2 linked regions of the Caenorhabditis elegans genome follow. The protein of the gene in region 1 interacts with the protein of each later gene in a pairwise test. Each region holds a gene or a part of one and is shown in the gene's direction. Other genes may lie near its edges.

Region 1 (3,442 bases):
CAAGTTCGAATTTATGTAGTCATCTATTTCTGAATACGAAGTCTATCAATGCGGCTTAAAATATCATCAAGTTCGTCGATTTCCGTCGTCAATTGTCCGGCAGTTTTAATTAGTTCGTTGGATAGATCATCAATCTGGAAAAGTTTCAATAAGTAGATCACTGCAAAAACTTCAACTTACAGTATTGAATTCAGCCGCGTTGGTTCTCAAGTGAATTTCCAACGTGGCAAGCGCTCCGCTCAACTCTTGCTCCGTGGCACCGAAATTAAGAAGCAAGTCTCGTGTCGCCAGAATTGTTTCAGCTTGATTTTCAGCACGAAGTGTCGAACGGATGCTCTCCTCGTTTGGAATGAAAATATCGCCGCCATTGAAATTATGATCAGACGTGGAATGCGAGAATTGATGCGTTTGTTGCTCAATGTTTTCTGAAAAATTAACTTTTAAATGCAGATGGATTTTTTTTTGAAATTTTTTCTAAAACGAGACAGACCGACCTAAAATATTTGTCCAACATTGATTCTCTCGATTATCGTACTCTACAGCAGTTCTTGTTTGATAATTCTTACGTGTCATTGTCTCAATTCTTTCCAGTTCATCTCTTGACTACAAAAACTCGAAACATTACAATTTGAACAAAGAAAAAACAACTTCTCACCATTACATCTCTCTGAATATTAAGATTGCCTCTTCTTGGCATATTCATATTGTTATGACGTTGCTGGTGGTTTCTACGATTTTGATTCGGAGCCGGAGCATTGTGACGTCGGGGGGGCTGTATGTTTCTGCTGAAGAAGGAGCTCAGTCAATATTTGTGATTTTTCTCCAACAACTTTTAAATAATCTTATATTTTCGGTGAAATGTTTAAGTAAGACTACAGTACCCCTGCCTTAACATAACCCTATAAGTCTCAAGGGATGTATTCCAAATGGTCCCGCCGCACCCGGAAGTCACAAAAATCTGTATTTGTTCGCGCCTTCAAGGTTACTGTAATTATGGTATCGAATTATTTTTCTTTTTTATTAAATTGTTTAATTTTTTAAAGAATGTTTTTAACTAGTATTTGGTATCGTAATGTTTTCGTCTGAAATTGCGATGAATTATTCAGAACACCAGACATAAAATATGCGCATTTCTACAGTAACCTTACAGGCGCGTTGCTCGCGGTGAGACCATATAACGTTTTCCTTGAAGCTCATCGAGGAAGATATGTATAACTGAGACACATAATATTATTGCTTCATACTTAGGTCACTTACTCCACGACTTGATTTTGTCTAATTTGCGGTTGAACTGCTTGAAATTGTCGATTTCCACCAGCTTGAGCTCTTTGTTGATTATTCATCATAAATTGATGGAATTCGGGATTCCAAATTGGATTCATGACGGAACGTCAGAGATTATCGAGTTTATTGAAATGATTTAAAAAATATTCGACATTCGATTATAGTGATTGATAACAACTGGAATAAGTTATAATGTAAATAGGATTTCACGTAGAACAAATTTTTTCAGTTCTAATTTTATTATATATTACAATTAAATATTACATTTCCTACGCCCTGACCAGAACGCAAAAAAAACAATTTTAGAAAACAAAATAGTTCATAAAAAGTTGAAAACAATTTATTTCAATTTTAACAATCTTATTCAACTAACCATCACTATCAATGTCTTCTCCAAGTTCAGCTTCTGAATCTGATTCTAGTCAAATGTCTCTGTTGGCAACGCCACCCGTTGCAATTCGACGACCACTTCCATATCCAAGGTAAATTATATCGAAACATCCAGTGTACATAACTGCGAAAATTCTGACAATATACATATCTTTTTTTGTGATTACAAGAAGTGTTGTCTGAATTGGGTTACTGTAAGGGGTTTCTGATATACGGTACTTGTTTTCTAAATCTTATGGTGATTTCAGAGACATAATTTCAAGTCCACTCGAAGTCGCAACTCCTGTTACTGTTTCTCCAACAGATTTCATGCCAATCAGGTATATATATAATAGCAAACACTATTCCTAAGATCGTGGCGAGACTCACACAGAAAAACCGCGTGTGCCTTTAAATATTTTATTAAACTTTCTCGAAATGACGATATAAATATTTGATTTTCTATCGATGTTTCCTAAATGTTATATAATTCAATTAAATCAGAAAAATGAATATAAATCTTCAGAGAACTTGTCACAACTCCATATCACATTTCGACTCCAGTGTTAATAACTCCAGTTGATGCAAGATCGATCTCAAGAGAAATTGTACGTGTCAATCGTATAAGACGTGTTCGAACTCGTCAAGCATCTCGTTCCGTATTCAATAGTGTTCGTCGTCGACTTTCAATGATAACAGCTAATCGAACTGAAATTCAAATGAATACTCCACAAACATTGCCACGTAGCAAACGGTGAGCTTCCAGATTACGGTAGCCGGTCTCAACACGATCAAAATTACGAACCGTGTGTTTATAAGAAAAATAATTTATTCATTACAGAATCGACAACACTTCGACAGCCATGGAACCAGTGAGTTCGAATGCTTTTCAGAAAATTATTTCTGAAATTCTGAATAACTCACCTGCGTGTACAGAAACAATAAACTCAACAATAATTCCATCAAATTCATCGAATTGTGCGAAATTACGGGAATTTAATCGTCTCGAGTCGATTGGAATTGCTCAAATGGCAGTAGAAAATGAGAATGAAATTTTGGAAGCACTTGATTTTATTGAATGGAATATTCGACTAATGAGTTGTGAATCGGATTATGTAAGTTTAAAGCATTGAAGGATCCGTGTAAAAGTGTATTTTTCAGATTGACAAAGTCTTGGAAGACTTGGAGAATGAGAAGCTCAATAAACAGAACAAATGGGAACGAATCGAACTGATTTTGAGTCTCATTCAAGATTAATAAATTCGAAAAATACAGAGAATTATTTATTTAAGAGAAGCGGTAGTCATCAAATAATTACAGAGAAACACTTGCACACACATAATACTTCAATAAAAGCCATTTTTTTGGCAAAGGGTGAAGGCGGAGCAGGAAAGAATGTTGGAAATAAAACGAAACCTAATGAAGAATGTGTGCGTGTTTGTGAATGTTTAGGGCAAAGAAGTAATGAAAACCGAAAGAAAGAGCTCATGGAAATGAAAAGAATGAACGGAAGAGAGGAGCATGATGATTGATAGAGAACCCGATTTGATTATTCAGTGTGCGTTTTTGGGGAGCGACGACGAAGACGCGAAAACCGAAAGTGTTACAGTTCCAATACACGATAGAGGACCTGGAATTAAGAGAGCTGGGAGAGAAAGAACACAAAACATGAAGACCAATGAATGATATTCTGATACACTAGAAAAAATGAGGGAAAGAACAAAGCGGTTTGGGAATTATAGTATCAGTTCATAATAATTAGAACTGATATTATTATTTCCAAGCCAGA
Region 2 (5,879 bases), on another chromosome or scaffold:
TTATGAAATTCGGTAGTTTCGAGCAAATTTTTGTATATTTACGCAAAAAATTCTGTTACCCAGATCCGAAACTTTGCTATTTTCCCCCAAAAAATACACTACCAGGTCTCGAAGCGGCCGATTTTCTCCAATGCCAAAATTTAAGGATTACTGTAGTTTCCAAATCCTCGCTTCTTTTTGGATTTTTTACGATGTTGCATGTGAAAGTATAAAAAAATAAATGAAATGTTTTAAAATGAGAATTCAGAAACTGCCGTACTCCTTAAAAGTCGCTTCGAGACCTATTGTCATAGTTTTGAGACAAAATCTCGCATCTGACCAATATTTTATGCTATTTCATTTTTTAAAATTCATGTTTTTTTTCCAGATTGGAGCAAGCTGCCGCACTTGGAATGGGAAATGCTCGTTCTCTTGCCTCACTTTTTGACAAGGTTTGTTCTCGTTTTTTTGATAAATTTATGAGAATTTTAAGTTTTTTTTCGTTTTGTTTGAACATCGTTATCAGCTGAAACTAGGCTGATAGCGAAGAAAAGAAATTTTTAAGTCGAACAAAAAAAAAGAAAAAGGAAATTTCCTTGTGACTGTTTAAAAAAACTGAAACAAAAACGATAGTTAAGAGGATTGTTTCAGGTAAATCGAGGAAAACTTCTCAATCAGGCTACACTGAACACGATAAGCAAACCGTTCGTCAACGAGAGTGATTTCATTTTTGATGATACTGTCGCCAAGGGACACGGATTTTTCCATTTGCCCATTCATAGAGCTGGGGTGAGATTTTGAATAATCGAAAGAGGGACGAGGGATGATGGAAATTTTGAACTGAAAAATTTTAAAAAATCCATTTTCACAATAAAAAAACCAAAAAAACCAACAAAAGTCTGAAAAAACTCTTAAAGAACGAAAAAGTCAAAATTCATCCAATAAAGCAGATTTTTTAATTTTTGCCAAAAAAAACTTTTAAAAAATCCATTTTTGCGAAAAAAAAAACCACTGTCCTTTTTCCCATAAAAAATTCAAAAAAATCAATTTTTCTCAAAAAAACCCGAAAAGTACCTTTTTGCTAAATAAACATAAATTAACAAAAATTAACAAAAATTAACAAAAATAACAAAAATTAACAAAATTAAAAATAAATTAAATAAATAAACATAAAACATAAACAGCCAAAAATTAATTTTTGCATTAAAAAAGACTGAAAAATCCATTTTTGTAATAAAATTACAACTGCCGAAAAAAGCAAAAAAAAAAAAATTTTGAAACCCCCAAAAAATTAGCAAAGGACCAAAAAAAAAGAGCCCAGGTGGTGAACAGAAAACGAAAAAACAGGAGAAATTGTTGAAAAACCATTAATTTCGAATTCATTCAAAAAATGAAAATGCATAGAAAAAATATTTAAAACCCTAAATTTAGCTAAAGAACCTGCAAAATGTTAGGAGCGTTTTTTTATTTAATTTTCAGTGAATTTTTTTAATATTTTTCTTTCATAATTCGCCATATTTTCAGACTCAATTCGGCTTCGGACATACCGGGCACGGATGCCAAATGGTCATCACAGATCTCAAGAATCGAGTGACAATTGCCTACGTCACAAATGGGTTGAAAACGGGACTCTACGACTTGTGCAGGACGTACTGGGGACTTCAGACTTCTGTATATGATGTCATCGAACAAATTAATATTCAATCATAATTTATTTTATTTCATTTTTTAATTAGTGATTCCATATAGTTTTAAGATATATCCCAAATCATCCCGCGTGTTCTTTGTACAGTCCGTTTTTAATTCATTCATTCCAAGTGTCGTTCTCTCAATGTTGAAGCTTCTTCCCCCGTAATTAACTGACCGAGTGACCCCACAAAATTGCATATTTATCTGCTCTCTCTCGATTTCCTTACTAATAAACCATCAGTTCACCAGTTTTTAACCACATTTGCGGGGAGCTGGCAGGTGGTAACCCGCAAGTTGCCAGGGGCAACGAGGGTGGCTTAAGGCAAGTGGCCGCGCGGAAAAGAGCTTTCCAGGGGGAGAGGAAAGCAGGATGTCCATATTTGGAAGCATTCTAAGTCTGCAGGATGCCATAAATCGATTTCCGCAGTTTGAATATCAGGTGGGGAATATTAATTGTTAACACGAATTTGAAAAGGAATTCGATTTTTTTCAATTTTTGGATTTTTTTGTAATTTATTTAAAAATTATTATTGTGAATTTTTTAATTTTTCCATTACACATTATTAAATAACTAAAAATTGAATTCGTGGTTTATTGTTCATTTCCAACTAAAAAAATCCCTTCAATACCCAAAAAGTTGCAGTGGGGCGCATTTTCAACGTTTTAATTAAATTTCAAACGTATAATTAAAACTGAGTCTCGTCACAACAGATTTTTGTTAAATGCGGAAAGGTGTGCGTCTTTAAAGAGTACTGTAATTCAAAATTCCAGAATTTTTTTTAAATTTAATGTACATATTTTCATCTAAAAACTATTAAAAAACTAAAAAATTCCTCTGCAACGAAAGTTTGGAATTACAGTACTCTTTAAAGGCACACAACTTTTCGCATTCGACAAAAATTGTCGTGTCTAGACCGTAAACCGTATTTTCAAGGAAAAATAGCAAAAGCCTTTTTTTCAGATAAATCGCCTCGAAAAAGAGCAAAAAGACACCGAAGCCGCGTCGAGAGCAAGTTTTCGCAAACATTTTGTCAGACAGTGCCAGGAATTGCATAGACAGGTAAAAATTGCATTTTCTCTATCTGCCTTATGCCTGGCTGCCTACGGGCCTACCTACCGCCCATTATGGGATCTCCGGTTTGATTCATAGATTTTAGGTCGACCAACTTTCTATTTAATTTCAATTAATTGTTTACAAACATTGAAAAATTGTTAGGCATATGTGTAGACCGTAGGCACTCTGGTAGGTAGGCATTCTCGTGCCTACGTAGAAGTATCATTCAAGGATATCAACATATGCATACAGTTTGCAGCTCGACGATCACCGAAATCGAATTGAAAAGGCCAAAACTGACGAGACCTACAAGAAAGAAAACGCTCTAGAGCAACTTGACAAGTTGAAGCAAAGATTGACAGCTTTGAGCCCGGAAAAGGAGCAATTATCGTTTTCTGTCAGGTAAAATTATAATTAAATTCAATTTCTCTAATAAATAGTTAAATATTCAATTCCAGTGTGGACTCTCAATCAGAAGAAGAAAAACCGAAAATGGCTGCAATTGGCCGCCGAAAAAGCACAATGTATAACGATGATGAATCAGAAGATTCTGATAATGATTCAGAAATTATTGAGACGGATGTTCAGCTGGATGATCCTCTTCCGAGTCAGCCACAGCCTCCACAGCAACAGCACCAGCAACCTCAACCAAAACCCAGACAACCTATCACAATTACAAAACCTCTTGAATCAAAGACTTTGAATGAACGTCAAGAACTTGATGAAGTCATCTCAAGGCTTCAGAATCCGAGTCGTGGAGATTCTGGAGAAGTTATGGAACCAGTTGTAGTCCGTGGCAATGTTTTTGTTGCAATTGACAGTTGGGATGCAGAAGCTGAAGGGGATTTGGAGTTAATCAAAGGAAAGAAGTATCGAATCACACAGACAAGATCCGATGGTTGGTGGACTGCACTGGATGAATATGGTCAGAGGGGTCTTGTGCCAAAGACTTATTTACAACATGTTAAGGAAAAGCCGAAGAATGTGGTTTGTTACTTTTCTCTAGTATCGTTAGTTTAATAAGTAGAAATTTTCAGCCATCAAAAGTGTCTAGTCGCCTCGGAGTTCGAGATTCGGTGATCGGAATATCTACGACTACTGATCCATCAAGACGAGAAGCAAACCGGCAGGCATCTCGAGTTGATGACTGTCTTGGTAAAGCATATGACAATGACACTCACTTGTCACTAGTGTGCCATATGGCTCCGAGACTATCAACTTCAAATATTGGATTTCATGATCTTTTTTGGAGTCATTACAAGGATCAGGTAAAAGTTTAAAACTTGCAGTTTCTACCCAAAAAATGCTACAGTTTTGCCAAAAAACCTCTGAGTCTTCCTAAAAACGGCTGAGAAAATTGCTTTAAAAATTTTTACTATGAATCATTTGCTACTCATAGCAACACATTTTTTGCTCACTTTCATAAATCAACTATATTTTTTGCAGGTTTACAAGCGAACTGTCCATATATCAAAAATTATCCGTCTAGTTCGATTTGAAAAGATGCCCCTAATCGAACACAAGGCACTTGTCAGAATGGCTCTTGTCGACATCACAAATCCAAAATCCACTCAAATTGTGAGCAACGTGCACACTCTTGTGCCACGTGTCAAATCTTCAACGTGGTACTTTGAGAAAAAAGAGAGCCAGACGAGAAGCTGCATCGAGTTTTCTGATTTTGTTCTCCGCTCAAACTATCGATCTCCGACAGTGGTACTTGTTGTGGAAGCATCTCATTTGGTGAAGACACAAATAGGAATTGAGGAAAAGAGTTTGGGACATACATATCTGCGACTGATAATTGATGATAAAGCAGTGCCAAGTAGAACGAATGTTTTGTATTTGGATGATGAAGTGATGACAAAAATGAAGTTGCCGGAAGCTTCGAAAAGAAGAGTTCTGGTTCAAGTGATGGATGTTCCCAAGGATAAGGTTTCATATGTGGAGTGAGTTTTGGAAACTAAGAAAGCTGAAAATCTGGATCCCTGACCTGACTTTAAGTTCAACCCAAATTATTTTTCCAGCTCCCTCCCCGATGTCATAGTATTCAATGCTCTTTATTTACCATTCTTCCACTTTTACCGCCGACGAGCTGGAACCATTTTAATTCGGGACAATCGGAATCCATTGAGTGCTGGTAGGATTTCATACCCACCCAAACAATATTTTGAACTAATTTCAGAATTTATATCTGACCCACTTCTCTCTGTATTCCCATTTGTTTGTGACCAGCATGACATTATGGATATAATGCTGAAAATTTGGAAAACCAAAAAGAAAGTGCTCGCCAAGAAAAACGAAGCTGAACAAACTGCCGAGTTCTTCCAAACTTTTCTACACACCGCGTTTTTTATTCATGGGATTCGAATGATTTCGTATGATGTCAAAGATGATCTTACTCTTTCGATTAGGCAACAGGTAGAGCTGCTGCTCTTGGAGCTCGTTTCAAAATCAGGCTTCGATTATTGTAACATTTCAGACTATGCAACGATTTGTGGATGCATTGAATAAGGGACTTTTCAAGCAGTTCATCGCAGATCAACAATGCAAACCAATCAATATTATCGATTATTCATTGGATCTTTTAGGCAATCATTCTATTGACTAATTTATGGAGATAAAATTAAGCTCAATAAAAAATTTAACTGTGTAATAAGTTCTACTCATCTAGCATCTAAGCATAGAAATGTTTCAGTCATTGTTTCAGTAAATTTCAAGTTTTGAAATTTTTGGTTTTGAAATTTTTGGTTTTTTTGTTTAATATTTGAATAATTTAGAGTCGACTCCCAAACATAGGAGTGGTAAAACTGAGCAATGGCCATTTTTCAGTTGTAAATTTTCACACTGTACCCTCTCAAAAAATGGATTTGAAATGAAATATGTTTATTCGCAATAATGAATAAAATTGGGCGATTTTTCAGAATCACAGCCTCATCGAATTTATTCCATTAAGGGGTTTTATTACATCATGAAATTCTGCGAGCTGACGATCAGGATGTGGTTCTGAGAAATCTAAGAGTTCCTAAACTGGCTTGCCGCTGATTACAGTAGCGGCAGCGGAAGAAGCTTCAGGTGCGGCGGTAGAGGCCTCGGAAGAAGCAGCGGTTGATACCACAGAAGCTCCACTTGCAGTAGTATCTCCACCAGCTGTGGATGC

Evidence for each region. Proteins that work in one complex are often made in the same cells at the same time.
Region 2: the proteins of ZK858.2 (region 1) and nphp-1 interact in a two-hybrid assay, tested with the Caenorhabditis elegans proteins (one large-scale study listed by BioGRID).

Annotation. Positions count from the first base shown.
Region 1 is NC_003279.8:9,122,668-9,126,109, reverse strand, and holds ZK858.2 (uncharacterized protein), read left to right. Parts: upstream 1-1,637; 5' UTR 1,638-1,668; coding exon 1,669-1,766; intron 1,767-1,922; coding exon 1,923-1,994; intron 1,995-2,179; coding exon 2,180-2,407; intron 2,408-2,494; coding exon 2,495-2,768; intron 2,769-2,814; coding exon 2,815-2,910; 3' UTR 2,911-2,928; downstream 2,929-3,442. Other genes in the region: ZK858.8 (t-SNARE coiled-coil homology domain-containing protein), read right to left, coding at 24-134, 181-425, 495-603, 656-785, 1,258-1,382.
Region 2 is NC_003280.10:10,648,389-10,654,267, reverse strand, and holds nphp-1 (Nephrocystin-1-like protein), read left to right. Parts: upstream 1-2,011; 5' UTR 2,012-2,038; coding exon 2,039-2,107; intron 2,108-2,629; coding exon 2,630-2,728; intron 2,729-2,981; coding exon 2,982-3,124; intron 3,125-3,180; coding exon 3,181-3,709; intron 3,710-3,759; coding exon 3,760-3,990; intron 3,991-4,168; coding exon 4,169-4,668; intron 4,669-4,746; coding exon 4,747-4,859; intron 4,860-4,904; coding exon 4,905-5,140; intron 5,141-5,201; coding exon 5,202-5,330; 3' UTR 5,331-5,375; downstream 5,376-5,879. Other genes in the region: lact-3 (Beta-lactamase-related domain-containing protein), read left to right, coding at 368-431, 631-768, 1,504-1,689; M28.10 (Flo11 domain-containing protein), read right to left, coding at 5,745-5,879. UniProt on the Caenorhabditis elegans protein: Plays a role in the extension of dendrites from phasmid ciliated sensory neurons. May be necessary for initial assembly of the cilium.